4 linked regions of the Arabidopsis thaliana genome follow. The protein of the gene in region 3 purifies or fractionates together with the protein of the main gene of each other region. This does not show direct contact. Each region holds a gene or a part of one and is shown on either strand. Other genes may lie near its edges. The genes, in order: IMPA-8, IMPA-5, AT5G53480 and AT1G32880.

Region 1 (7,130 bases), 590 kb from region 3:
TGGGGATGAGAAGGTATTGGAACCGGTTCAACCCGGCAAAGAGGAAGAATTAGAAGAAGTGTCGTGTAACTCGTGTTCGTTGGAGTTTATGGATGAGGAAGCGATGTTGAATATGCCGACTTTGTTGACGGAGATGGCTGAAGGGATGTTGATGAGTCCACCGAGAATGATGATACATCCGACGATGGAAGATGATTCGCCGGAGAATCATGAAGGAGATAATCTTTGGAGTTATAAATGAATCCATTGAAGCTGCTCTCTTTTTTATTGTTTTCCGGTCGAATGAGATTTTCCCCCTTTTTTTTTTTCTTTTTGGGTCGCTGTTATGGAAAGTCAAATAGGTTATTAATATGATATATTAATATTTTTGAAACATAATGAGTTTGAATTTGAATTTTTCCATTTTTATATAAATATGGTTTATATGAGGGAAAAATAGATACATATCGAAGATATAAGAATTGTTTTTCTGCTTTATTTTTGGTCAACTGATTATGGTGCTTCTAGAAAAAGAACAATCTTTTTAAGAACAAATATAAGAAGTATCTAGAAGCAAAATAATTTGTTTGTGGAAAGGCCTCCAATTTTATATAACTTAAAATCTGAAGATACAACACAGTCTAATGGTTTGTGTTTTCTGACCCCAAAAAAAACAACAGCTTCTCATGGGAAAAAATGGTAGGAAACTTTTTTTTTTTGTCAACGGCAAACTTAAATTTTAGAAAGATAAACTACGATATAATAACTTCCAAGAGAAGATTTTTTGGAACTTAACCATCAGACCACACACACACATCTTTATCATCCTATGAATATCCAACGAATACTACTACATAGAGAAGAATGAACATGTTACATTTATATCATGTTTGACTAGAAACAAAACAACATAGATCATTTTTCTTGTTAACCTTTGTATAGGTTTTCAATGGCTTCCGCTTCTCTCTGATTCTTTTTTACCATATATACTACTAGATCTACTGTCTTAGGATTCTCTAACCTTTAGGAGTTCAAAATTTATCTCATGAGCTTGAAAGATGTCAATTACTTCTCCAAACTCGACGTTATATGTGTCAAGTACTACATTCATGTCATGACAACCTTTTGTGCATAAAGATACCTCAAAAGCTTTTTTACCAGTTTCGTGTCCTTATATTTTTTTTTGCATACCTCACATTTTATATGGTTTTAATCACTCATCTTTTTATATATTCTCACCCATCCTTATAATTTCAAATTGAAATACCATCATGTCCAATATATTCTCACCCATCCTTATGCATTGTGTCTCATGTGTCTTTAGCATATTTCATATCCCTGGATCAACTTGAGTTAGTGAAACAGTTAGAAAGTAAAAAACAAAGGTAAAGTCTCTCTCGTCAAGACCCTCCGAGTGTACAAGAGGCTCTCAAACAACAAAAGCAAAAGGATAAACTTTTGTTAGCTCAGACTATCCACATAGCCGTCGTCTTCCTCGCCGGACATGCTAGAAGATAACAATCCACACCCAAACTTACCCAGAGAGACAATCTCTGATTCACGTCCACTACAATTACCGAATCTCTCCGAAGCCACCGATCACCTACGCTAGTTTCAGTGGCAATTCGAAGCTTCCAATGAGTTTGTTCTGTAATTCAATCGAAACCCTTTATCCAAAACCATTCCTTTCACACAAATCTCACTTCTTTACCTTCTCCAATTCCAAATTCCAAAACCCTAAATTCACAAGCTTCCCACTTCGTCACCAATGGCGGATCGAATCATGTCTGAAATCAGCATCTTCATCAGAAATCGATATGGTAAGAAACAAAGAAGGTATCTTTGCACCAAAGGAGAAGAAAGTTGTAGTCTTATGGGACTTAGACAACAAACCACCACGAGGTCCACCATACGAAGCCGCAACAGCTCTCCGTAAAGTCGCTGAGAAACTCGGCCGAGTCGTCGAAATCTCCGCTTACGCAAATCGTCATGCTTTTATCCATTTACCTCATTGGGTCGTCGAAGAGAGACGAGAAAGGAGGAACCTTGATTTCATGGAGAGGAAAGGAGAAGTGACTCCAATTGATCCGTACATTTGTGGTGTTTGTGGTCGCAAGTGTAAAACCAATCTTGATTTGAAGAAACATTTCAAGCAGCTTCATGAGAGGGAGAGACAGAAGAAAGTTAATAGGATGAGATCTTTGAAAGGTAAGAAACGTCAGAAGTTTAAGGAGCGTTATGTTTCAGGGAATGAGAAGTATAATGAGGCTGCGAGGAGTTTGTTGACTCCTAAAGTTGGATATGGTTTAGAGGCTGAGCTACGTCGAGCAGGGGTTTATGTTAAGACGGTTGAGGATAAGCCTCAGGCTGCGGATTGGGCGGTTAAGAGACAGATACAACATTCAATGACTAGAGGGATTGATTGGTTGGTTTTGGTGTCGGATGATAAGGATTTTTCTGATATGTTGAGGAAAGCTAGAGAGGCTGATCTTGGGACTTTGGTTGTTAGTGATATGGATAGAGCATTGGGAAGGCATGCTGATTTGTGGGTGCCTTGGAGTGGTGTTGAGAAGGGAGAGATTGGTGAGAAGGATTTGATTCCGGGGAAGAGACCAAGGTTTGAGGAGGATGAGGTGGGATTTGGTGGTAATGATGAGTTGTTTTCGTTGTCGTATGATGAGGATGAGAAGGCGGAGATGACGGTGGAGAGTGATGGGTTTGGGAGGTTTAATGTATCGGCGTTTTCGGAAGATGAATGGGTGGAGGATGAAGGAGACTTTGTGTTGAGTGATAGTAGTGATGATGATAGTGATGATGAGCTTTTCTGATTCATGGTGAATTGAGTTGCATTTCTAAGTGTTGTTAATTGGTTTACGAATAGAGTTCATAGGAGCTTTGGTCGATGTAATTGAAATCAAATGTAAAACCATTCTTACATAAGCCAAGATTTTGTGCATTCATGTGGTCAAAGGCTTTGAGAATTCAAGTTCTTACATAAACCAAGATTTTGTGGTATTGTGGTTTGTCGAATTGAAATTTTGGGTTGGAGTAAACCGGATTCAAATCAAATTTTTATTTTGATCGGTTTAGAGTAGACGGTTAAGTAGCGACTGGATTTTTTGATCAGACGGTTAAAATAAAATCAAGAAAGAAACGATAACTGAAAAACCCGTTTTTTTACGCTTCGTTAAAATTCTGCTTCACCATTTTTGTTTGCATTCTTGCTTGATTGCAAAATCTTTGCCTCTCTCACATTTCAAGTTGAGATTTCTAGGGTTTAGTCTTTAAGTTTTCTAAATTGCTTTGGAGAGGTCGAAAAGAAGAGAGAAAAGCCATGGCTTGGAAAACAGAGGTCCGTTTAAAACTATCTCACAAGTAATCACTCTCTGGTTGATTTTGTGTTGGACTAGTGAGGTTTTTAGGGTTTGGATTGTAGGTGAACGAAGTTTCAGATGATATAATCGATGGTCTTTGGTCAGATGATCCTCCATTACAACTTGAATCCGTTACCAAGATCAGACGTATTACATCACAGAGTAAAAACTTCCTCTGTTTTTTACTTTCTTTACTTTTTCTTGATCTCGGTTTGAAAGATTCGTCTTTTATCATTTACTCTAATATCTTTCCAGGAGATATATCTTGTGTGATACGATCTGGAGTTGTACCGCGTCTCGTTCAGTTGCTTAAAAATCAAGTTTTCCCCAAGCTTCAAGTTAGTTGATATTTTATGATGATGATCAGTGTAACCTTTGATTACGATATATTCAGTGATCTTTGTTTTTATAGTATGAGGTAGCTTGGGCTCTAACAAACATTGCTGTTGACAATCCGGGCGTGGTAGTTAATAACAACGCTGTTCCAGTATTAATTCAGCTTATTGCTTCTCCTAAAGATTATGTTCGTGAGCAGGTAAGTATTTTACTACGTGTAGATATGAGAATACTTGTCACAGACTCACAGATATGAGTTTTGACATTATTCTTGCAGGCTATATGGACACTGAGTAATGTTGCTGGTCATTCGATACATTACCGTGACTTTGTTCTTAACTCTGGGGTATTGATGCCACTGTTGCGTCTTCTGTATAAGGATACTACACTCAGAATTGCTACTTGGGCTTTGCGTAACTTGTGTCGTGGCAAGCCTCACCCGGCTTTCGATCAGGTCTTCTTACTTCTCTCTCTGTCTCTGTTTCCTCTGTTTTGTATACTTTTTAACATATGAAGCATGATTCAACAGGTGAAACCTGCTCTTCCTGCGCTTGAAATACTTCTTCATTCACATGATGAAGATGTCTTGAAAAATGCTTGCATGGCACTATGTCATCTGTCTGAGGGTTCAGAAGATGGAATCCAAAGTGTGATTGAGGCTGGTTTTGTCCCAAAACTAGTTCAAATTCTCCAGTTAGTACTTCTCAGAATATGTATTTAACCCTTTTGTGACATGTTTGGATAAGGAAAGGCTGACAGTTTTTTTTCTTTTGCAGACTCCCTTCTCCAGTGGTGCTTGTTCCTGCACTTCTTACCATTGGGGCTATGACTGCTGGAAATCATCAGCAGACACAGGTATGTATTTCATATTCAACTTACGTTGTCCACCTTTTGGATTTTGTAACCAAACAACAAAATGCTTTGTTATACACCTCTTTGAACTTATTCTTCAGTGTGTGATCAATAGTGGTGCTTTACCCATTATTTCCAACATGCTTACTCGAAACCACGAGAACAAAATAAAGAAGTGTGCTTGCTGGGTGATTTCAAACATCACTGCAGGGACTAAAGAACAAATTCAGGTGAGAAACTTTTGTTGCTATTATCCCCAATGAAAATTTACCATTTTTGTCTTTTGCTATCACTAATTTGTTTTTCTTTTTCCCCTGGTGATTACAGTCAGTTATTGATGCAAATTTGATTCCAATCTTGGTCAATCTTGCTCAAGATACTGACTTCTACATGAAGAAAGAAGCTGTATGGGCAATTTCAAATATGGCCTTAAATGGTTCTCATGATCAAATCAAGTAACGTCCCTGTCTTGTTTCTTTTTTCAACTTTAATGTACTTATTATAGATCATCAAGTCTCACAATTCTCCATTGGTGTGATTCAGATACATGGCGGAGCAGAGTTGCATAAAACAATTATGTGATATCCTAGTATATTCAGATGAAAGAACCACCATCTTAAAGTGTCTGGATGGATTGGAAAACATGTTGAAGGCCGGAGAGGCTGAAAAGAACAGTGAAGACGTGAACCCTTATTGTCTACTGATTGAAGATGCGGAAGGGCTAGAAAAGATTTCGAAGCTGCAAATGAACAAAAACGATGATATCTACGAGAAGGCTTATAAGATTCTGGTGACGAATTGGTTTGAAGAGGATGATGAGAACAACAACAACAACGTCCGATGTGATGATGTGGACTTTCAGGTGTGAGAGAACCAAAGTTCCAGTTCCTTATATGGAAGATCCCAACACAATTATTTGTTATAGTGAAAAAAAAACATCTTACATGGGACCAAAGGCTTTGCACCTTTGTTGTCTCAGGGCTTTACTTGGTCTTTAATTGAATGTACAAAGTTGATGTAAAAGCTTTGGCTCCATCGTTCATGGAGTCTAGTACATTGTTTTGGGTTTTAAAAGTTTTCTGTGTTAAAGCTCGTCGTCTAATTGATGTTGTGTTTGGTTTTAGTTGAAAGGTTTAGACGTTTAGTAAAAAAGTTACTCAAATTCTTGAAATCTCCTTGGCCTTGCTGATTATAAAATCAAATATTCATTTATAAAATTATGCGAAAGGGTCTAATTATTTTTGAAACCGAATCGAATGAAGACAACTCCATTTTGATTGATTTTTTTTTTGTTGTATTAAAGAATAAAAAACTCGACTGGTTCAACAAGACTGGATTGTCTTTAAACTACTGGTTCAATGTATTTTGGGTACATAATGAAAAAAATACACAATCCGCCTTGGCCACGTATCCATCTTTGGCTTAGTTGATGATGATAATACTTTTGTTTTTTGGTAAGGCTGATGATGATAATAGTTAGAAGAAGTTCATAGAATAATCCAATGGATTTCCAATAATAAAACACAGAAATAAATATAATCCAAACAATTGCCAAAAATAATGAATAAGAAAAGGGACCCACACCAAAAGCTAAAAGCGCGTGGGTCAGATTACAAAAAGCGAAACCCCAAACCGTGGCTAGACAGCGGACGAACCCGTCCCTTCAAACGTGGCTCACCTTTCGAACCACAGAGAGCAGTTTACACTCCAACTGTCAAAAACGTGTTCCCATGACGTCATCCTCAACGTATCTTTATCACTTTTTAAAACTAAAGACTGTTTTGTCTTTTTCTAAATCGTCCCCTTTCTCCGAACACCATACTTAAATTCAATAAAATAATAAATATCAAAACTGAACCATCGAATCGGAACCAGCCACAGTACACAATACACTTAGACGAAGTAAAGTGATTCAGAAGGACACGTGTAAGTCACATACCGTGGGACACTTGTCGTTACCAGATCCTCCGTGTTTCTCACTTTTCTTATAAAATAAAAACACAACACTTCTTCACTTTCTGTAATAAAAATATCTCCAAAAGTTCCAACACCTGAAAACATAAAAAGATAGAAAGAGAAATAAAACATCTTATCCAAAGAAAAAATGAATCCATTTTACTCTACATTCCCAGACTCGTTTCTCTCAATCTCCGATCATAGATCTCCGGTTTCAGACAGTAGTGAGTGTTCACCAAAGTTAGCTTCAAGTTGTCCAAAGAAACGAGCTGGGAGGAAGAAGTTTCGTGAGACACGTCATCCGATTTACAGAGGAGTTCGTCAGAGGAATTCTGGTAAATGGGTTTGTGAAGTTAGAGAGCCTAATAAGAAATCTAGGATTTGGTTAGGTACTTTTCCGACGGTTGAAATGGCTGCTCGTGCTCATGATGTTGCTGCTTTAGCTCTTCGTGGTCGCTCTGCTTGTCTCAATTTCGCTGATTCTGCTTGGCGGCTTCGTATTCCTGAGACTACTTGTCCTAAGGAGATTCAGAAAGCTGCGTCTGAAGCTGCAATGGCGTTTCAGAATGAGACTACGACGGAGGGATCTAAAACTGCGGCGGAGGCAGAGGAGGCGGCAGGGGAGGGGGTGAG
Region 2 (7,734 bases), 1.7 Mb from region 3:
GAAACAGAGAGAGAGAGAATTAAGAAGACCTCGTTGAAGGTAGACGGAGGCATGCCACGACACAAGAAAGCCAAAGTCCGAATGGCAGCTCTGAGCATCGGCAAGTTAGTATCCTTGTACAGCCTAATCAGCAGTGGCGTCAATGCCCCACATTGAAGAACATAGTCACGGTGTATTGGATGATAAGCAACATTACCCAGTGCCAATATAGCCTGCAAGAATAATGTCAAAACTCATATCATTCATACTTATCTACTACATAGGTACAATCTTTACCTGTCCACGGACATTATCTGTCGAAGAAGCAAGAAGCGTGACTAAGATTGGAACAACCTTGTGATCAACTACCACATCCGGTTTAAAAGCAGCAATGATTGCTAGACCGCGAGCTGCTTCAAACTAGAAAAGACCATTGAATATATCACAATCAAAGATTACACTGATCATCGTAAAAAACAATTTGATGGGTTCTTTTTTTTCTTCTAACTTGAAGCTTAGGGAATTCTTCATTGTGAAGAAGGAAAACGAAACGAGCAACAATTCCAGATCGTATTAGATCTTTTGTACCAAGAGGCAAGTTTCTTTGCATTCCTGGACAGATATAAGAGCACAAAACTTAAAGAAATGTTAAAAGATGAAATCTTTCAGATCGAAACAGAGGAAGTTTTATTTACCATCTGATAGAATCCTGTTGATCTTGATAGCTGAATCAAGCTGTATCAAAGGATCTTTTGAATAAAGGCCATTGGCTAAACTCATAGCTGCTGAAACTTTGTGTGAGATCGTTTAGAGGAAGCTTGGGTCTTAAGCAACGTGGGTTTTCTCTCTTCTTTGACCTATCCAGAGAAATTTGCAAAACTTGAAGAGAAATCTGAGCTGAAATGTGAAAGAGGCAAAGAAATTTTGCAATTCAGTGCAAGAATGCAAACAAGAATGGAGCGAAAATAACAGATGAATTTACTACGACAATATCGTTATCAGAACCGGCTTGTTTGGTTTGATTTAATTTCGACTGAAACCGGTTCAGTTCAACCAAATTGATTCAGTTTGGTTTTGGGTTTAAATCCGGTTTAATAAAACCCAAATTTCAACATGTTAGGCGTGTTGGTTAGGATCATCGGATCATTGCCAATCTCGAATTACCCCCCAAATCGGAGTGAAATTAGGGTTTATATGTCTAATCACCTTAGCACCACCATGACGAAGACCACGATCAGCACAATTCTTCTTGTGGTTTCTCTGTTCGATCATAACTTGAGCTCTTGCTTTCATGGTTTCTGAATTGACCAAGAAGATCTGAAACAAACACAGAAGCAGATCATCATCATTTCCAACAGTTCATCTTCGATCACCCGAATCAGAATCAGATCATTTTATCTTCTCACTGTGGTCTAGCATTCTCTATTTTCAATCCAGATGAATTGTTTAGGGTTTTTGATCGAAGCTTAAGAAAAAATAGCAGAGACGAGAATGAAGAAGAGTTAACAACGAGCGAAGAAATAATAAAGCATCTCTGCACCTTCTTACTTGAGCTTGTTATCGAATTCATCTAAATTCTCAAAGTGGCGACCAAATTCGATGATTCAATTTCTCCATGGAAACGAAACACAAAGTGGTTTCGGAATATATGGGCCTTTTACGTTATACCAAAGCCCATAGCATAAGAGCCCATCCATTTCGAAAGAAAAAAAAAAAAACAAATCCGTCCCGCGTCAAAAAAACTGAATCCATCTTTAAAGTTTGACCGTTAGTTCGGTAAACAAATAATTTAACCCTTTCTTAATTTTGACCGTTAGTTCGGTAAATTTGAGTAAAATTTTTTCCTAAAAGACAAAACAATGTGGATTCCAACAGGAAGTGGAACTTGGTTCTCTAACAGGAAGTGGAACTTGATTCCAATATGATGAGTAGCTGTTAGAGAACCAAGTTCCACTTCCTGTTGGAATCCACATTGTTTTGTCTTTTAGGACCATCATATTATGTGCATGCTTTTGGTTCAATATGACAGCTATTTCTTTACATCAAAATCTAATATCAGATTATGTGGGATCTTAACGAGAAAAATCAAACTGGAATTCCGGATGAGAACAACCATCACCACCTTCATCTTCCTCTTCAACTAACCTTCCATCTTCCTCTACAAGCCCGTATGTTTGCAGAATCTTCACAGCCTTCTCGTAGATCTCATTGTTGCCATGGTGCTGCAAGTTCTCAATCTTTTCTAGCCCTTCTGCATCTTCAATCATTTGAGAGTAACAGTTCACGTCTCTTAGGTTCTTGTCCACCTCTCCAGCAATCAAAATCATTTCCAGTCCACCTAGAGACACTAAGATGATTCTTAGATCTGGACAAACCAGGATGTCACATAAAGCTTTTATGCAATTCTGCTCCACCAAGTATCTGATACACACCAATGGATATTGTGAATATAGATGATCAATAAGCATGAAAAAAGTGATAAAGAAAGAAGACAGGGATGTACTTGATTTGATTAGGAGAACCACCCACGGAAGCATTTGAAATTGCCCATATAGCTTCTTTCTTTATGTCAAATTCAGCATGTTGTGCCAGATTGACCAACGATGGAATCAAATTTGCATCAATAACCGACTGTTATCATCATCAATGCAAGAAAGACAAATAGAAAATATTTAGTGATAGCAACGTAAATTGTTCAAGTTCTGCAACAGTAACAATCACAAACTCATGCTCACCTGAATTTGTTCTTCTAAACCGGCAGTGATGTTTGAAATCGTCCAGCAAGCTTCCCTCCTTATGCCTCTCATATGGTTTTGAGTAAGCAGGTCAGCAAGAACGGGTAAAACACCACAATTGATCACACACTGAAAAATAAGTTCAAAGAGTTATTTGGTTACAAAATCTAATCTCAACACAGTACTCAAGCAACATATAAATGAAGTGTTCTCCAGGATATAATCATCCAAGATACAGGATTACAAATTAAGCTTTTGATAGTGCTATTGCTTTGAAAAACAATAAATTCACACGGTGTACAAGAGACGTGTTCTTGAAGGCTCCATCAAAGGAATATGAATTACATACGTGAGTCTGCTGACTATTTCCAGAAACTATATTCCCAATGCAACGAAGTGCAGGAACAAGTACAACTGGAGAAGCGTGTCTGCAAAAGAAAAAAATGGCGAGCCTTCATTATCCAAACATGTATCAAACGGTTAAATTTTTTAATATTTGGAGAGAAGTACTAACTGGAGAAGTTCAACTAGTCTTGGGACAACACCCGCCTCGATCACACTTTGGATATTTTCATTTGAAGCATCAGACAGATTCGAAAGCGCCCAGCAAGCATCTATCAAGACTTGTTCATCATCCGAATAAACAAGTCTTTTAAGTACAGGGAGAACATGTTTCACCTATAAATCATGTTTCATAAGTTTAAGTATTGCACCTATAAAACTGAGGAAATAGAGAAGTAAGAATACCAGGTCAAAGGGTGGTGAAGGCTTGCCACGGAAGAAGTTTGATAAAGTCCAAGTCGCATTTCTAAGTATCGACAATGTAGCATGGTTATTCAGCTGATGCAACAGTGGAATAAATGCCCCAGAGTTAAGAACAAAGTCACGGCACTGTATTGAATCACCAGCAACATTACCCAGTCCCCATATAGCCTGCAAATTAAGTGTAACATCAAACTCTTCAAAATTTGAACTCACATATTTAACCATTCATACTCAGAAGAAGCACTATACCTGCTCACGGACATCATCATCAGGGGAAGCAAGAAGCTGAACAAAGAGTGGCACAACACCGTGATCAATCACTACCTTGGTATGCTCAGATGCGCCAGAAGCAATGTTTGTTAAAGCCCAAGCAGCCTCAAACTATAAAAAAGATCAAAGAATTCAGAACCAAAGATTACACTAATCATCAAAGATGGGAACTTTAAGTCTAACCTGAAGCTTAGGGTTATCATCCTTCTTAAGAAACTCTACAAAACGTGGCACAACTCCAGATTTTATCACATTATCAGTAGGTGGACTTCTATCTGAACAATATATAAAACCACAAGACTTTAAGAAACCATTCAAGTAAATATAAGTTCGTATCTTTTTCAACTCAAGATCAAAGAAAAGTAAAGAGTTTTACCGAATGATAGAACCACCCTGAACCGAGTTGTGTACTCAAGCTGCAATGAAGGATCATCCGAGAAAACCCCAGTGATCATATTCGCTATCTCCAACTACAACCATCACCAGAGAGGATCTAATTTAATTACCCAATTCGAAAGCATTCGAGTATAATGATAAAGGTCGTATCTTTCAAAACCTAGGTTTCACTAATCCAAAACCAAAGATCAAACTTTTACCAAACTCTCAAAGGGGTCGTTGGAAATCAACTTGTAATCAGGAGGCAAAACTTTTACACGACGTTTCTTCATCAAATTTTCGTTGCGTTTACTCTTGCGAATCTCGACTAAAAAGTCTTCTCTTCTTCTGCGTCCTTCTTCCGCATCTACAGAGACTTTGTAACGGATTCGACGGATCTCTGTCTTCGTGCTCGGTCGCAAGGACATAGCTTTCTCGATTCTTCGACCTCTCTAAATCAATTCACAAAATCGAAGCGAAACCCTAGAAATTTGAACTGAATGGGATTTGCAAAGTGAAGAAGAGAATGCAAGAGTGGTGAAGATGAAGAAGAAGCGACAACAGTTTCAATTTGAAGAAGCGGGAGGGTTTTCTAATTATCGTTTTTAATTGTTAACCGTATTTATACAGTAGATTGAATCATAAATCATTGATAATCTAAATTTAAGATAAAGTTTACAATCATATTATTAAGAGCTCCAAATTGAAATAATTAGTCAATAATTATTATAAGCTAAAATACTTGAATCTAAACCGAACTAAACCGTGAAGTTGGTTTAGTTACTCGTTACCGACGATAAAAAGAACCATATTTGCAGAGTTTACTCGTTAGATGTGTAGTGTTTTCTCCGGCGAAGGAAAACCTACTTTTCCGGTAAAGTTCATGTATTGATTGGAAAAAGTAGGTTTTGGTTTGTGATTTTGAATTGCTTATGTAAGAAGTAAAAACATTGTTTTTTCTCATATGATTATGTTAACTACTATACATTGTACACTATACTATATGTGCAAGTTGCTTTAAAGAAACAAGATATTCCAAAGACGTCGATTCATCTCTAACAGTAGCAAGACCTTCTCGAGCAACCGTAGCCATCCGATTTGTAGGCGATCTTGGAGGAGATGCATAAAGAACTGATGCCTCGATGATCTCTCTATGTGTGTTTTCAAGATCCTTAGAGATTCGATGTGCTTGAAGAGCGGTTAGGTAAAGTCCCGTGGCTAGAAAGACGGTTATAAGTGAGAACACTCCGGCCGCTGAAAACAAGCCTTGCCGGATTACTAGACAACTAGGTTTTGGTTTAGACCAGTTCTTTAGATGTCCTGATTCCACACTAAGTGCAACCAACAGTAGAACCTCTCCAACACCAAAGCAAACCCTTATAGGAACAAAAAAGAATAATATAATCACAAAATTATCATTAACTTAAGCTATGGTCAGTAACATAAATATGTCATTTCACGATTGCTTATAGTTAGGATTTTTTTATTTTTATTTTATTTTTTATAACTACATGACATTAATTCGTTGCGTTAGAATAAGTCTACGTACCATGTTGAGACGAAGAAGAAGGCAGCTTGAAAAGTGAGCCTCTTCGCAGGAACAGAGTCAGGATCCCACTCAACCAGAACCAGAGACGGCGATGTGGTGACTGCGATAAGTAAGTACATGTGGAAGCCCACCATCGCCACCGCTAGTCCCACAAACGCAATCGCACCACACAACAACGGCGTTTTCCCGCTACCATTATACACGCATGTTTTGCTTCCCCATGTCGCCTATTGCAAATGATTGACAACATATTAATGGCAATGATATAACTTATACTAAATACTATTATAATCGAACGATATGGTAATTAATATAAAACATGAATCAATATAGATTTCTGATTTATTTTGAAAATATAAATGATGAAAACATATGAGAGAAAGTTTATATACATCCCTGTATAGTAATGTACCTGAGATCTTGTGGCTTCGGCATAGAGGCAGAGAACAAAGCAGGAGAGGCCAAAGATTATTGTCAAAACAGCGATGAAAATACCGGTTTTGCTGCTGAGATCTGTGGTTTTAGGGTTTGGAACAAGATCTTGATGGGTCACAGCTCGCACTCTTGTTCTCGACATGTCTCTCGTCAATTTCTAATAGATAGGAATCGAAGTTACATGTTTTGAGAGTTATTATACTTTGATTTGTTTTACATATATGAGAGGCATTGAAAGTGGGAAGAAAAGAATAAACTGGAGTATATTTGATAAATAAATGAAAAAGGAGAGGAGGATAGAAGAATTGCTTCAGCCAAAGGTTGCTTAAAGGCCAAGATTCGCAGGTTCTCTTTCGGATGTCTTTTTAGAAATACTATACTGTTTTCGTATAGTGTCTATTAAACGATGATGTGTAAAATATATAATGTGACGAGAGTTCGTTAATGGAGTTAGTTGGATGATTCTTTTCATATATTACACGTGTATAAGAACATTCTTTTCTTCTTTTTATTTTGTGTTCATACAAAGAACATCGTACCTTTTATTATCTTGAAAGTAAATAAAGATAAAGATAAAAAGATAAGGTGATGAACTTTGTTCGTGAGTCGTGAGTGACTGAGTGTTGTCTTATTTCTATATACTATTTATTAGCATAATCATGTGAGGGCGTGTAATTTTTAATAGGAAGCCAAAAGCCTTCCACACCCCACCATAAATAACCAATAGAGAAGCGGTTTCTGATACTCCATTTCAAAAGCAAAGACATATAGTGACAGAAAAAACGAGCTCGTGTCACTGATATCTTTAGCTTCGAATTGGATCAACACTACTTGTCAAGTTGTCATCACCTTAATGTTAGTGTCTCGCCGATGTTGTGTTTGCCGTTGTGATAGTATATATTTTTATTGTTGCCGACACTGGTCGCATCGGTTTTGAAAAGAACATGGTTGTGTATTAAGTACTCATCACTCATGTGGTATTTTCATGACAAAGTTTGTGATGTCGTCACTCGTCGTAAGAATTTTGAATTTAATGTACCTAAATTGTGCTATATGAGTTATGAAAGTTGAGGTTACCATCGCCAAAGCTCGAAATTATGATGTGAAAATATTGGGTTTAAAATTTTACTTATACTCAAAGTCCATGGTATAAGCACCTTAAGGCATATATAGATTAGGATCTTTGACAAAAAAAAAAAAAAAAAAAAAAAAAAAGCCATGAACTAGGATCCAAAATTTGTATGGACATTGAAATTTTGATTTTTTAAAACAAAATTGATATATATAAAAAAAAATTAAATAGAGTAAAAACTGTTGATCTCCCCCAATAGATTTGCATTAGTTAGTTTTTTTTATTTTGAACTTTTAACTCCTACCAGATTATTAAAGTAGTATTTTATTTAGATAATTTTTTATAGTTATGATATATGTTTTTTGGTTGTTTATGATTTATTTATGATATATGAGTTTCAATAACTTTTTTTTTAATCAAAGTTTCAATAACATTAAAAAGAGGGGAAACGTTATAACATGAATAGAGCCTTCAATAACGTTGGATCGTCCATGGTGCTATTGAAGTTCTTTGGTCCGAATATCTATATATATTTTTTTTCTTAGAGACAATTC
Region 3 (9,398 bases):
TGCATCGGATAGGCTTTCGCAGAAAGTTTCTAATGAGTTGCAACTTCAGCTTTATGGATTGTATAAAATTGCTACTGAAGGACCTTGTACTGCTCCTCAACCATCAGCTCTTAAAATGACTGCTCGTGCCAAGTGGTTTGTCTAACACTCTTATTGATTCTCTGATTCAAATGTTTGGGACTGTGAAAGATGATTGCTTGATCATGTTTACTTGTGATGTACTGATGTTTCTTGATCATGGATGTATATTATTTTGATTTCACCAAGTTCGTATCTTTCATTGCTAATGTATGGAAAGGATTGCTTTTGTTGGTGTATTGATTAGTGATCTGATTCAAATCTTATGACTGTGAAGATTGTTACTTAATCATGTTTACTTGTGATGTACTGATTATTCTTCATCCTGGATGTATCTTGCTTTGTGTGAGTACCGAAAGGATTTGCTTTTGTTGTTTTGTTGATTGGTAACTTAGGGATGCATTTTGATCGACTGAGATTTGTTATGATCTTTTTTGTTCTAGGCAAGCATGGCAGAAATTGGGTGCTATGCCTCCTGAGGAAGCGATGGAGAAGTATATCGACCTTGTTACTCAGCTTTACCCAGCTTGGGTTGAAGGTGGCTCGGTTAGTTGTCTTCTTACCTGCTTCTGTTATTCCCATTTCTTTGGACTGTTTATGGATGGTCTGTTTTCGTTCTTAAATCTGTCTTTATTTCTTGGCTTGTTTGCTTCGTTGCGGACTATTAGAAACGAAGAAATCGGAGTGGTGAGGCTGCAGGCCCCATGGGACCGGTTTTTAGCTCATTGGTGTACGAAGAGGAATCTGACAATGAGTTGTAAGGTTCCTAAGCAATTAGTTACAGATTCATCTATGAACTTTTGGTTTTCTTTTCTCAGTTTCTCTATATGACTAGCTGACTAGATCAGAGAAGGAATGTATATATCATAATACTCACCTTAGGTAGATCAAAGAATCATGTGTTAGTTTAAATCATAGTAGAAGCTCTGTTCATTCTTGCGTTCTTACTCCATGTTCCAGGAAGATTGACGCCATACACGCCTTTGCTAGAGAAGGAGAAGTCGAGAATCTATTGAAATGCATAGAAAATGGCATACCCGTAAATGCAAGAGGTTAGTAGTCTTGTATCATTTTCACAGAATGTTCGGATCTGGTTTGGAAACTTAACAGTTTCTCCATCTTGGAAATGTCAGATAGTGAAGGTCGAACACCACTGCATTGGGCTATAGACCGTGGCCATCTTAACGTTGCTGAAGCTCTGGTTGATAAGAACGCAGATGTGAATGCTAAAGTAAATAAATAACCAAAACCCCCTAAACTAATTCTTTCTCTCAATTACAGACTTTTATGTTTTTGTCGCTGACAAACTTTGTGCAGGACAATGAAGGCCAAACCTCTCTACACTATGCTGTTGTGTGCGAAAGAGAAGCACTCGCCGAGTTTCTGGTGAAGCAGAAAGCTGATACAACCATTAAAGACGAAGACGGAAACTCGCCTCTTGATCTCTGTGAATCAGAATGGTCTTGGATGCGAGAGAAGAAGGATTCCAATTAGTGTTTTTTAAGTCTTTAAAATTGTGTGTCAAAGCTAGATGCTTGTGTTTTTCTTACATTTCCTCTGAGCCTCTTTGCTTCCTCTTAAGCTTATGTTTTAACATACAACAACACAAGTTACATATGATATAGTAGCTCTAGTTTTTATTGGTTACTATATTGAACCCAGAGAGATCATCATCATCAATCATCATAACTCAATAATAGTTTTTTTTTTGTTAGTATAATGTTTCTCTCTTTCGTTCGTGACCCTTTCATGTTTTTTCAGCCATCTGAATCATTATTATCATACCTGTAAAACAATTTTGTTGATTACTTGTAAAATTTATAAGTATTTTAAATATGATACAAATTGTACCTTCGGAATAAGAAAAGAAAAAAAATCTTCTTCTTCGCATCTCGCTGTAAAACAATCCGGACCGTTGATTAATTAACGATGAGAATATATAAGGTGGGGTTCAGATAAGGACCACCCAACACGCGATGTACGACATAATCACTCCAGATTATATCAATTCTTTAATCAGAAATATATTTTTAGTGTGCAAAAATCATAAAGAAAAATATTTTCCCTTTTTATATATATATTGGGTAATTCAGATTTTTTTCTATTTATGTTTTTATTTGAAAAAAATAAGATACACTGAACAAACAATTATGATTGGAAACAAATTTTCATATTTAGAAGATTTATACAACTTTTTTTTAATTGGGTAATTTTAAAAGATATTTTCCTATATATAGTTTTTATAAAAATATTAGGATACACTGAACAAAACCTAAATATACAATTGAGTACAAATATATATAAGTTTGGAAAACAATTTCAAAATTAATAGATTTACATAATTTGTGTTCAAAACAGTTTTTTTATTTGTTTATATAAATATTTGGTTAAAAGTTTAATAATAAAATTTAAAGTCCATCTTCACATCCGATTCTTCTCTTCTCTTCTCTCTCTCTCTTCCCTTTTTCGCTGGAACTGATTTTTTTCTTCTCTCTCTCTCTCTCTCTTCCTTCTGGGCTTCTAGGGTTTGTCCTCTCCAGTCCCCGATTTCCGCTTTATCCGATCGGCCGCCGCCGAGATTCTAGGTTACCCTTCTTCACTTCATCTATTCAACTTTCTCCCTAAGATCCATCTTCAGATTCATCACTTCCCAATTCGCTTTTTTTTTTTCCTGATTCGATCTCGATTCGTTCAATCATCCATTTCCAACTTTAGTTTCGATTTGTTCACTGTTTTATGATTTGAACTCGTTCGTAATCTGAGATTTGCTTTTCGATTTTTTAGTTAGATTCATTTGTTCTATTAACTTGTTGATTTGGTCATCTTAGTAACTAGTTTGATTTCGTGTTTTATATTCGATTTCGTGCTCGGATCTGTTGTTCTGGCTGTTATAGTTGAATCTGACAGTGTTTTTAAGCGTCAATGGCTCGTGCTTTGATCTCTTATTGCTATTACATGGTTTTTTCGATTCATAGTGATTTAGTAGTCTTTCACCTTTATGGCTTTTTGGATCGTTGACGAGTTTCTTCATGTTGTTGGCTTAATTTACTGATTCTGTCTTACTTCTTCTTTATTTTCAGTTTTGCTGAATCTGTTTGTTTCTGTTGCAGATAAACCTATGGCAATGGAGGTTACGCAGTTGCTCATTAATGCTCAGTCGATTGATGGAACTGTACGTAAGCACGCGGAAGAAAGTCTTAAGCAGTTTCAGGAGCAAAACCTTGCGGGTTTCTTGTTGTCGCTTGCTGGAGAGCTTGCGAATGATGAGAAGCCAGTAGATAGCAGGAAATTAGCTGGTTTAGTCCTTAAAAATGCTCTTGATGCTAAGGAACAACACAGGAAGTATGAGCTTGTTCAGAGATGGTTGGCTCTAGACATGTCAACAAAGTCGCAGATCAGAGCTTTCTTGTTGAAGACACTGTCGGCACCTGTGCCTGATGTTCGTTCGACTGCATCTCAGGTCATTGCTAAGGTTGCAGGTATTGAGTTACCACAGAAGCAGTGGCCTGAGCTCATAGTGTCTCTTCTCTCAAATATTCACCAGTTACCTGCTCATGTCAAGCAAGCCACTTTGGAGACTCTTGGATACCTATGTGAAGAAGTGTCACCTGATGTTGTTGAACAGGAGCATGTAAATAAGATACTCACAGCTGTTGTTCAGGGTATGAATGCTGCTGAAGGTAATACTGATGTTAGACTTGCTGCAACCCGTGCTTTATACATGGCTCTCGGATTCGCCCAAGCAAATTTCAACAACGACATGGAGCGTGATTATATCATGAGAGTTGTGTGTGAAGCAACCCTGTCCCCTGAGGTGAAAATTAGGCAGGCAGCTTTTGAGTGTTTGGTATCTATCGCTTCCACATACTATGAGAAGTTGGCGCATTACATGCAAGATATATTCAACATCACAGCTAAGGCTGTAAGAGAAGATGACGAGTCTGTTGCTCTACAGGCAATTGAGTTCTGGAGTTCTATTTGTGACGAAGAGATTGACATCTTAGAAGAATATGGTGGTGAGTTCGCTGGGGATTCTGATGTTCCATGCTTTTATTTTACTAAGCAGGCTCTCCCTGGTCTTGTGCCTCTACTGCTGGAGACTCTTCTGAAGCAAGAAGAAGATCAAGATTTGGATGAAGGGGCTTGGAATATTGCAATGGCAGGTGGGACATGCCTCGGTTTGGTTGCTAGGGCAGTTGGAGATGACATTGTTCCACATGTCATGCCGTTTATTGAAGAGAAAATATCAAAGCCTGATTGGAGAGAGCGAGAAGCTGCAACTTATGCTTTTGGTTCCATTTTGGAAGGCCCTTCTGCCGATAAGTTGATGGCAATTGTTAACGCAGCGTTAACATTTATGCTCAATGCTCTAACAAATGACCCAAGCAACCATGTGAAAGACACAACCGCATGGACCCTTGGTCGGATATTTGAGTTCCTTCATGGTTCAACAATCGAGACACCTATTATTAATCAGGCAAACTGCCAGCAGATAATCACAGTACTCATCCAGAGCATGAATGATGCGCCTAATGTTGCCGAGAAGGCTTGTGGGGCTCTGTACTTCCTTGCTCAAGGCTATGAGGATATCGGTCCCAGTTCTCCGTTAACACCCTTCTTCCAGGAAATTATTAAGTCACTTTTAGCTGTTGCACACAGAGAGGATGCAACTGAATCACGCTTGCGGACTGCAGCATATGAGGCATTGAATGAAGTTGTCAGGTGTTCAACTGATGAAACGTCTACCATGGTTCTGCAATTAGTACCAGTGATAATGATGGAGCTTCACAATACTTTGGAAGGGGAAAAGCTTTCATTGGATGAGAGGGAGAAACAAAACGAGTTGCAGGGACTTCTATGTGGATGCTTGCAGGTCATCATACAGAAATTAGGATCTGAACCAACCAAGTCTAAGTTCATGGAGTATGCAGACCAAATGATGGGACTTTTCCTGAGGGTGTTTGGTTGTAGAAGTGCAACTGCACATGAGGAAGCCATGCTTGCCATTGGTGCTCTTGCTTATGCAGCAGGTCCCAATTTTGCCAAATACATGCCTGAGTTTTATAAGTACTTGGAGATGGGTCTTCAAAACTTTGAAGAATACCAAGTGTGTGCTGTTACTGTTGGTGTTGTTGGGGATGTCTGCAGAGCATTGGAGGACAAGATTTTACCTTATTGCGATGGGATTATGACACAGCTTCTGAAAGATTTGTCGAGCAACCAATTGCACCGATCAGTGAAGCCACCGATATTCTCCTGTTTTGGTGACATAGCACTTGCTATCGGTGAGGATTTTGATAAGTACTGGAGGTATTCAATGCCGATGCTTCAGAGTGCCGCAGAGTTATCTGCTCACTCGGCTGGAGCTGATGATGAAATGACGGAGTACACAAACTCATTGAGAAACGGAATCCTTGAGGCTTATTCAGGCATATTTCAAGGTTTCAAGAACTCCGCCAAAACCCAGCTCCTGATTCCTTTCGCACCCCATATCCTCCAGTTTTTGGACAGTATATACATGGAGAAAGACATGTAAGTTTGGTTACGACCCAACTGAATTTCTATTATGTCATAGCAGTTGTTTAATTTTGTGGTAAAATTGCCTTGGGACAGGGACGAGGTGGTGATGAAGACAGCGATTGGGGTCTTAGGAGATTTAGCAGATACACTAGGGAGTCATGTGGGTGGTTTGATACAACAGTCAGTGTCAAGTAAAGAGTTCTTAAACGAATGTTTGTCTTCTGAAGACCACACAATTAAAGAAGCAGCCGAATGGGCGAAGCATGCCATAACCCGTGCCATATCTGTTTGAAGGCTCTTCTTTTGCCTATAAGAAAGAAAATTCCTTTTGCTTTTTAGTAAAGTCTGCATGCATCTCTGGGTGGGTTGAGTCGGTCGGGGGGAGGGGTAGAGCTGCAACATCCGAGTCACATCAGCATCATCAGCATCAGTTTCATTTGCATCATCAGCATAACTGGGGTCAGTCAGGGAATCGTTGAGTCGTGGATGTGGGGAATGATGAGTTTTGGGGTAAATAATGAAACTGGAAGAGTCACGGGTGAAAGTTTCCCGGGTAAGGTTAAATCCCCGGGAGTAGAAAGAGGAGGAAGTGAGTCATGGTCGTTTTCTGGTGGGTTTTGGGACAAAGTTATACCAAAAAAAAAAAGGTTTCATGGAACATCTCATAATACATTCTTGTTTTTTCTTTTCTCTCATATGTTCTTCAACCCCTTGAGGAGGGAGAGGTCTCAGGTTTTTATCAAGTGGGGGCATTATTAGAGGACAATCCCTTGATTTTTTCTTTTGTTTTCTTTTATTATTTGGTTAGTTGCAGTCTTTGCATCATCATTTTGTCTTTTGGGGGGGTTTGTATGTTTGATTAAAAGCATTATTCACATTTTTATTTTTATATAAAGAAGTTTCACATGTCTGTCTATCTTCTCTTTGCTATGATGCAGTTTAGGGGGTTTTGCATATATACTTGTGTTTTGTTTGCAATCAAGTTTCAAATGTCACATACAGGAACATTTTTATTATATGGTGTCATGTCTTAGGGTCTTAAAGAGGTCCACATCTATTCATTTTACTATGGAACTGTTTACAATCGTTTAGAATCCATTATTTGATTTGGCTCGAACTATATGGGAAAGGGCACATGTTAATAGGAGAAAACGTCCTGCCTTACTCTGCTTCCAAAGAGTCAAGTTAAGAGATCGAAGAACATTTCACATTCACGCTGTTTATGGAAACCTCAATTTTGATTGTATGTGTTGCTTTTTTTTGGTTTTCCAAACGCCAAATGCAACTGATACCGAACCTATATTTTGAAAAATGTTTTCATGTGTATTTGAAACATTCTAGACCATTCAAGTTATGGTTTAAATTAGTTTCTCTCGGTTCTATGTATTAGTCCCAAACCATGTTTCTGACGTCTCGAGAATTTTTCTCTTGAACTAAATATATAATGTCATAATTCATTCGACATATCTTTTTCGAATTGATGATTTAGGCGAGAGAAACGTTGGTTCTGTTGGTATTTTTTTTTTTTTCATTGTGATGACATACCCATTTAAATCTCACTCAAATGGACAATAAAACACATAAAAGATAGATGATGGCTAAACATCCAAGAGAAATAGGACACGCCACTCTGAATTGAAATTGGGAGTTGAAAAAGAATGGTGGTAATACGAAGTGGGCCTTTTTTATTGTCAAAGGACTTGTCCAAGCACACCCACATATATCACATACACTGATACACACACAAAAAAAAAAAACATTTTTGTCGTCCGCGACGATTTTTTTCATATTCAAATAATTTCATTACGGCGTTAATACTTTATTTTGCGACTTTAAACTTTACCTTTAGTCTTTAAATGCAATACTGAAATAGCACCGAAAGATATATGAGCGTCGTCAGCTGAAACTGCCAAAAAAAGGAGAAAATCTTACGATCCAAGTTATTAGTCAAAAGAAACATAATTATTGATTAAAGCATGAACTTCTTGCGACAAAAAATAACTCCAATTTTTCTTTCAATAGCTATTATCTAACACATTTTACCTTAAGGTTACGGATCAATACATTTTTAAAAATAATAATGATTAGTAAATACTTTCTTAGAAGATGAACGCCATTAAAGAAAACTCTGAAAAAAAAAAAAAAACGGATGTTTTTTAAGAAAATTAATTCGTTTAGTAGGACAACGAAAACCTAATATATAAGCTAATTTAATGGATAAAAACTAGAACTTTGGTTCAAACTACATTTATAGATCTAACTATGCGTTCTCATTGCCTGATGGCTTTCATTTTTTGATGTTGTTCCTTCTAATGTTGATACGCTCTTAAGCGATGATGTTATTGGGTATGTGCGCCTAAGGCAAGTAAGTTTGTAATTTTTCTTATAATTTTTAGTCTCCCGTCTTCTACAGAAAAAAAAACTACACTTATGAGATGAATTGTATATTAAAAATTTAAAACGAAGGAAATATTTAAGAAAAGTAGTGAAATTATTAGTTGTGGGTGTCTCGTGATTTATTATTCGCGTTGTAAACTATGTTAGTATTGAAATTGTGTTTTTGTTCTCTTTTTTTTTTAACTAATAGACGTACGTTTTTTTTTTGTCAAAGACTAATAGATGTACGTTTCGTCGTCTTTCTGTGTAGTTGACATTGGACAACAGAAGTTAAGACTTAAGACACGTACGTTGTTGCCCAATAAAACATTGCTAATTTAGTGGCTCATTGGTTTCTTATTCATCACTCCTTTTAAACGCAACATATAATTGCCGACACATTGATTATTTCCCTACTCACGAACTTTCCCTTTTTTTTTTTTTTTTTTGTGAAGTCATGCATAGTCTTCGGACAGAAGAGCTGCACGTACATGTGTTAACTGTTAAGTGAATAATGTTTTAGATAGTACAACGATTCTACTTAAGCAGTTTAGCTGGTTTAATGTACGTGTAGTCTATATTAGTTTTTATCATATTCAGATGCTGAAAAAGAATCTGTTTCATTTTATTTTTTATAGAAAACTGCAGATATTTACTTGGAGGTTGTGAGAAAACATTTTAAGATGGAAATAATTAACCAGTTAAGAAAGTTGAAGTGCGAAACCATTTTTTTATATGAAAGGATCTATAGAGGGGATTTATAAAGTCTTCTAATCTAAAATATATGGGTTATGGTGCAATACACACACACATATATATAAGTATAACCATTCATATGGTGACTTTTTGGGGGTAAAAGTTCTTTAGTTTTTGGGATTTAGTAGAATTATGGATTTTAGGTCAAAACACATAATGTTATGAGGAACGATGTTTATTAATTGTAAAATAAGATTTTGGGGGATAGTGGTCTCTCACTATAATAATGGGTCACTTAAAAAGATGCACTTCTCTGATACATTTTGCAGGCCACTCGCTATGTCTGTCTCAATCCTAGTTGACTTCTTATAAAGTTGTGAAGGCCGAAATGGAAGGATTAGTTCCACTATTTCTCTTTATTTGTATCAAATTATTTAGTGTTTGGTACCACGGATTTTAAAATCTGCCCTAACCATCTTTTGACTTCCTAATTACTTACGTTATTCCCCTGTCTAGGAGTTGCCTACCATGTTGGTTTATGTGATCGAAGTTTACTGAACTTAGTCTATCTATTTTGATCCCTGTAAAATTTACATTGACCGCAAGGAAAATGTTTTGATTCCACATTTAAACTTTAATTTACTAGTACTGATCTTTGTTCTAATATGTCAACTGTACATGGTGTATTTAAATATAACAACCAAAATTTCAAACAGAAATTGGATTAA
Region 4 (5,843 bases), on a different chromosome or scaffold from region 3:
AAGATTTATAAGAAAAGTGGGTCTGGTCCTAAGAATGGTGAGCAATATGGAGCTCCTTTTATTGAAGAAGAATGGGCTGAAGATGATGATGATGATGTTGATGAGCCTGCTAATCAGCTCGTTGTTTCGGCTAGTGTTGATAATAGTTTATGGGGGAAAGGGCTTAACCAATCTGAATTGGATGATAATGATATTGAAGAGCTGATGAGTCAGGTTAGAGATCAGTCTGGTCCAACATTGCAGCAGAATGGGGTGTCTGGACTGAACTCTCATGTAGACACGTATAATCTGGAGAACCTGGAGGAAGATATGTATTTGGAAATCAATGATCTTATGGAACCTGAACCTGAACCAACTTCTGTGGAAGTCATGGAGAATAACTGGAACGAGGATGGTTCTGGTCTCCTGAATGATGATGATTTCGTTGGTGCTGATTCATATTTCCTTGATTTGGGAGTGACAAATCCTCAGTTAGATTTTGTTAGTGGTGATTTGAAAAATGGGTTTGCACAAAGTCTTCAGGTGAATACTTCTTTAATGACTTACCAGGCCAATAATAACCAGTTCCAGCAGCAATCAGGGAAGAACCAAGCTAGTAACTGGCCACTCCGTAACAGCTATACCAGACAGATAAACAATGGATCATCGTGGGTGCAGGAGCTAAACAATGACGGACTTACCGTTACCCGGTTTGGTGAGGCGCCTGGTACAGGTACTTGAAAGCACTAACAGATTTTCCTGTAGATACCTCTTTTCACTCGCATACTAAATATTCTATCTAATTGTGAGGAAAGCGACTGGCTTCTTATCCTAATCATATTCCCTTGACAGGTGATTCATCTGAATTCCTAAACCCTGTTCCTTCTGGTATAAGTACAACTAATGAAGATGACCCGTCAAAAGACGAGTCTAGTAAGTTTGCTTCTAGTGTATGGACTTTCCTGGAATCCATTCCTGCAAAGCCAGCATATGCATCAGAGAATCCATTTGTGAAGCTGAACCTTGTTAGAATGTCAACCAGTGGTGGTCGTTTCAGGTTTACTTCTAAAAGCACAGGTAATAATGTTGTTGTTATGGATAGTGACTCAGCAGTGAAGAGGAACAAGTCTGGAGGAAACAACGATAAGAAGAAGAAGAAGAACAAAGGTTTCTTTTGCTTATCGATCATTGGGGCTTTATGTGCTTTGTTTTGGGTGATCATAGGAACAATGGGAGGTTCAGGGAGGCCTTTGTTATGGTGAGAACCGAAAAATCCAAGAGGTTAAGAGACATAAAGGCTTGGTTTTGTGTGAACCATTAGAGAGTCAAGTCATTGTAATTATTCTCTTGGATTATTAGATTCAGAAGCTGTTTAGTATCACAGTTTATGCTTGGAAGTTTTCTCTGGTATTGTTAAAAAAGTACCAATAGAAATAAGCAAAAGAATTTTCTTATCTTTTAGGATATTTGAACAAATGATGTTACTTAACTAGATTATTAACTTGGAGGTTGTTGTATATCCTCATCATCCTCTTCAAGCCAGTAAGTCTGCAGAATCTTCAAAGCCTTGTCGTAGATCTCGATGTTTTCGTGTCTTTGCAGGTTCAAAATCTTATCTAGCCCTTCCGCTTCGATCAGTCGAGTATACCAGCTCACGTCGTCTCCTGCGTTCTTTTCAGCCTCTCCAACCTTCAATGTGTTTTCCATTCCATCCAGACACTTTAAGATGGTTTTTACATCTGGACAAAACAGGATATCACATAAAGGTTTGATGCAGCTCTGCTCCACCATGTATCTGAATCACACCAATAAATGGAGATTGTGACTTTGATGATCATCTATAAGCATGTTAAGTTGAAAGTGCAAAAAGAAAGAAATAAGACAGGGACGTACTTGATTTGATCATGAGAACCAAGTAAGGTCGCATTTGAAATTGCGCATACAGATTCTTTCTTCATGTCAAATTCAGCATTCTGAGTCAGTTTGACCAAGGTTGGAATCAAATTTGCATCGATTACTGACTGTTATCACCAGGGGAAAACAGTTTAGTTTAGTGAGATAGCAAATAGACAAATTGTTTTATGTTGTGCACCTGAATCATTGTATATATATCAGAATCAAAGATTACACTGATCATCAATAAAAACATCAACTTGATGGGGGAAATTTTTCTTCTAACTTGAAGCTTAGGGAAACTTTCATCGAGAAGAAACTGAATGAGACGATGTACAGCTCCAGATCGTATCACTGTTTCGATAGGACCACGCATATCTTCTGCACATGTAATATAAGAAACATTACGCATATCTTCTGCACATGTAATATAAGAAACATTCGAGTGAATGAAGAATCTTTCAAATCGATCAAGAAAAAGAGTAAAAGAGAGATTTGATTTACTCTTCTTTTTTTTTTGAAAAAATGTTAAATTATATTCAAAAAAAAACAAAACGTTTTTACAACTCGTGCAACGTTTAGCAAAATGAGAAAAGCTGAGAAAAAAAATAGTTAGAAATTAAAGGTGTTTAGAGAATGTTTAGAGTGAGCTGTACGTTGCCCTTGTCATATCTTCGATCACCTGCTTATCTATCCAAGTTATCAAGTGTGACGTGGTGTTCGGTGTTTCTCCATGACGACGCCCATTCCTCTCTCTCCAAACTGTGTGTATTGTAGCTTGAAAGACATACCGGATTAAGAAACCATCGACTCGCTGTAATGACTTGTCTGAAACATAGGCCAGAATTTGTGGCCATTCCTTTGTGAATCTGGTCTTCCATAGCTTCTTAGCTACGTCACCCCAAATTGTCGAGACATAGTTGCAGGAGAAAAACAAATGATCACGAGTTTCCATAGTGTTAGTACAAAACACACAGAGACCCGATTCTCCTCTGTTCCATTTAACCATATGCTCCCCTGTTGAGAGCCTATCTTGGACCGCGAGCCAAGTACAAAACGAAAACTTTGGTGTGGCGTGATTGAACCAACCCCCGTTGTACCAGGGGACTGTGGGAGAAGGAGCTCTGATATGGTGCCACGTTTCTTTGGTAGAGAATGATGCATTGTACACATTATTTCGCCTTGTCTCTGTACTTTAGTATTTTTCTCCAAATCCAAGAGCCTGCATTTGTATTCTGCTTCAATGTCCAAAAATGCTTCCTCCTAAGAAGGTATGTGGTGACCCATTGAACCCATAAAGACTTGCTATTAGAAATGATTCGCCAGACCAACTTTAAACAACAAACATCATTAGCTTTTGTCAAGCTTCGCAAACCCAAACCCCCCTCTATTTTCGGCTTACAAACTTTTTCCCACGATATCTTTGCCTTCTTTGAACTCAGTTCTAAACCCGACCATAGGTAAGCGGAGCAAATCTTGTCAATCTCTCGGATACACTGTCTCGGTAAACGAAAAGCGCCTAGCCAGAAATTGCAAATACTCCAGAGGATAGATTGAATCAAGTTGAGCTACCTGCATATGAGAGGTAGCGTGAAGTCCACGACGCGATGCGTTTCCTAATCTGCTCAAGAAGAGGATCATAATCCTCAGCCATGAGTCTCTTAGTAACAAGAGGCAAACCTAAGTATCGAACTGGCAATTGACCTATATCAAAAGGGAAAAGAGCTGCAATCTCTGCTTTCACTAAAGGTGATACTCCTGCCATATACATTGTCGACTTCTCCATACTTATTTTTAACCCAGAGTACTTATAAAACTCATCAAAAACCTTCACTATACCCTATATGGATCTAACCTTACCATCCGTTAGAACCATCAAATCATCTGCAAAACTTAGATGAGTGAGCTTTAAACGTTGACAATGAGGATGGAAACCAAACTTGTGAGCTCCGGCAGCCTTATCCAACATCTTTGAGAGGACATCCATGCTTATGACAAACAGATATGGCGAGAGAGAGCAACCCTGACGTAAACCCCTTGCACTTTGGAAATAACCAGCGAGATCGCCATTTACTTGGACTGAAAAAGAGGCCGTAGTAATACACAGTTTTAACCAATGTATAAAAACCGCAGGAAAATTCATAGCCAATAAAACATTCAGCAGAAAAGCCAATTGGACCGAGTCAAACGCCTTCGAGATATCTATTTTAATAGCACAACGGGTAGAGACTTAATCTTTATAATAGTCCTTGACTAGTTCCGTAGCAAGTAACAGATTTTCGATGAGTAATCTGTCTTTTACAAACGCCGACTGATTTCCCGCAACAAACTCTGGCAGAAGCACTTTCAATCTGTTAGCAATGATCTTAGAAATTACCTTATAGATTACGTTGCAGCATGAAATAGGTCTATAATCCTTCATTTCCTTAGCTTCTAGCTTCTTTGGAATCAGAGCTAAAATAGTTGAGTTTATTCCTTTTGGAAGGAAACCTTTTAGAAAAAAAGATTGAACTGCCAAAATGAATTCAAGTCCTATGGTAGCCCATGTTGCCTTATAGAACTCTGTGGTATAACCATCTGGTCCCGGAGATTTGTCCTTCGGCATTGAAAACAGAACCCTCTGTATCTCCTCCGCAGACACCTCACGAGTAAGCAGCTCTTGATCAGATTCAGAACAACGAAAAGGTAGCAAGTTCTGAAGCTCACTAACATCGCAGCCTGCATAGTCCTCTGGGATAAAATGCAGAAATTCTCTAAAGAATCTCTCAGCCTCCACTTTTATCTCATCACCCTTTACAATGCTACCATCTGCACATTGAATTTCCTTGATCTGATTCATTTGTCTCCCTAGCTACCACAACTCGATGAAAAGTCTTGTTGTTCTTATCACCCACTTTCATCCAATGCAACTTTGATTTTTGTTTTAGATATTTTTCTTCTAGATCTGACACAAACTCCCATCGGTTATAAGCCGCATTCTCTGCTTCCATATTCTGCAATGAAGGGTTTTGATAAGTTTGCCTCTTGTTTCTTACACAAAACTTCATATGCTTCTTTTGATTTCTTCACTAGGTTACCAATTCTGTCTTTTGCGAGCAACTTTAACGCAGGCTTAAGACCCTTTAGCTTCTTGTTGAACCGGAAAAGAGTGGATGTAGACAAGAATAACGACTCAGTATTCTTCCAATAGTTATCTATCATTGGCTGGAACTCATGTAATTCTGCAAGGACATTAACGAACTTGAAAGGTTTTCGACCTTTCGCCTGACTCCCTTTTTCTCTTCTTAAGTTTATTCGTCCGCGCAAGTGATCCGAACAACCTCCAGCCTCAAATGTAGAATAGGATTGCGGGAAAGTTTGCAGCCAAACGTCATTTATTAACACCCGGTCCAGTTTTTTCATTATGAGATCATTTTCTCGCTTGTTACACCACGTAAAAAGTGGACCCTGCGAAGCCATATCAGTTATCGAACAATAGCTCACCGTTTGTTGAAAATCCTTCATACCTGCAGTGACCACAGGATAACTATCCGCAAGAGAGTGCTCTTCGATATCCAAAGTTTCATTGAAATCTCCAAAAATTATCCACGGTCGTTTCCGAATAATAGGTGAATCAGAATGGTCTTTCAGTTCCTGCCACAAAATCTTACGATCTTCTGCAGTGTTCATAGCGTACACAAAAGAACAAAAGAATTCTTCTTGATGGTTGTCAAGCTTAACCGAGCAGGTTACCAACTGAGCACTCTTATAAAAGGGACTAAGCCTTGTACTACTACGCCACATAACCCAAATGCGGCCTCTTGAATTGTGTTCATAATTTGTTATGATCGACCAATCCTTAAACAATTTACTCTGCAAACTTTCTGCTTTATGCTCCTTAACCCTTGTCTCTAAAAGACATCCAAACTGAAAAGGCGTTTCCTTCACCCACTTCTTTATTACAGAATGCTTTGATGACTTATTTAACCCTC

What was found.
Region 1: the proteins of AT5G53480 (region 3) and IMPA-8 fractionate together in Arabidopsis thaliana (co-fractionation; one large-scale study listed by BioGRID). This does not show direct contact.
Region 2: the proteins of AT5G53480 (region 3) and IMPA-5 fractionate together in Arabidopsis thaliana (co-fractionation; one large-scale study listed by BioGRID). This does not show direct contact.
Region 4: the proteins of AT5G53480 (region 3) and AT1G32880 fractionate together in Arabidopsis thaliana (co-fractionation; one large-scale study listed by BioGRID). This does not show direct contact.

Annotation. Positions count from the first base shown.
Region 1 is NC_003076.8:21,117,303-21,124,432, reverse strand, and holds IMPA-8 (importin alpha), read left to right. Parts: upstream 1-3,313; coding exon 3,314-3,331; intron 3,332-3,415; coding exon 3,416-3,515; intron 3,516-3,608; coding exon 3,609-3,691; intron 3,692-3,765; coding exon 3,766-3,888; intron 3,889-3,966; coding exon 3,967-4,143; intron 4,144-4,218; coding exon 4,219-4,382; intron 4,383-4,465; coding exon 4,466-4,544; intron 4,545-4,642; coding exon 4,643-4,771; intron 4,772-4,868; coding exon 4,869-4,996; intron 4,997-5,084; coding exon 5,085-5,409; 3' UTR 5,410-5,487; downstream 5,488-7,130. Other genes in the region: AT5G52020 (Integrase-type DNA-binding superfamily protein), read left to right, coding at 1-241; AT5G52010 (C2H2-like zinc finger protein), read left to right, coding at 1,617-2,807; CBF4 (C-repeat-binding factor 4), read left to right, coding at 6,646-7,130.
Region 2 is NC_003076.8:19,989,965-19,997,698, forward strand, and holds IMPA-5 (importin alpha), read right to left. Parts: upstream 4,709-7,734; 5' UTR 4,553-4,708; coding exon 4,346-4,552; intron 4,220-4,345; coding exon 4,126-4,219; intron 4,025-4,125; coding exon 3,933-4,024; intron 3,861-3,932; coding exon 3,729-3,860; intron 3,648-3,728; coding exon 3,462-3,647; intron 3,393-3,461; coding exon 3,229-3,392; intron 3,143-3,228; coding exon 3,064-3,142; intron 2,844-3,063; coding exon 2,715-2,843; intron 2,611-2,714; coding exon 2,483-2,610; intron 2,401-2,482; coding exon 2,052-2,400; 3' UTR 1,982-2,051; downstream 1-1,981. Other genes in the region: AT5G49305 (importin subunit alpha), read right to left, coding at 30-212, 277-399, 488-591, 675-759; AT5G49320 (transmembrane protein, putative (DUF1218)), read right to left, coding at 5,119-5,500, 5,674-5,900, 6,086-6,250. UniProt on the Arabidopsis thaliana protein: Binds to conventional NLS motifs and mediates nuclear protein import across the nuclear envelope.
Region 3 is NC_003076.8:21,710,820-21,720,217, forward strand, and holds AT5G53480 (ARM repeat superfamily protein), read left to right. Parts: upstream 1-2,425; 5' UTR 2,426-2,663; intron 2,664-3,188; 5' UTR 3,189-3,196; coding exon 3,197-5,610; intron 5,611-5,691; coding exon 5,692-5,890; 3' UTR 5,891-7,059; downstream 7,060-9,398. Other genes in the region: ACBP1 (acyl-CoA binding protein 1), read left to right, coding at 1-135, 522-624, 747-835, 1,039-1,130, 1,212-1,309, 1,396-1,572. UniProt on the Arabidopsis thaliana protein: Acts as a negative effector of drought tolerance. Involved in the regulation of stomatal closure and in the abscisic acid (ABA)-mediated pathway that lead to drought tolerance.
Region 4 is NC_003070.9:11,912,452-11,918,294, forward strand, and holds AT1G32880 (ARM repeat superfamily protein), read right to left. Parts: upstream 2,285-5,843; coding exon 2,159-2,284; intron 2,001-2,158; coding exon 1,873-2,000; intron 1,775-1,872; coding exon 1,477-1,774; downstream 1-1,476. Other genes in the region: NAC13 (NAC domain protein 13), read left to right, coding at 1-712, 832-1,241.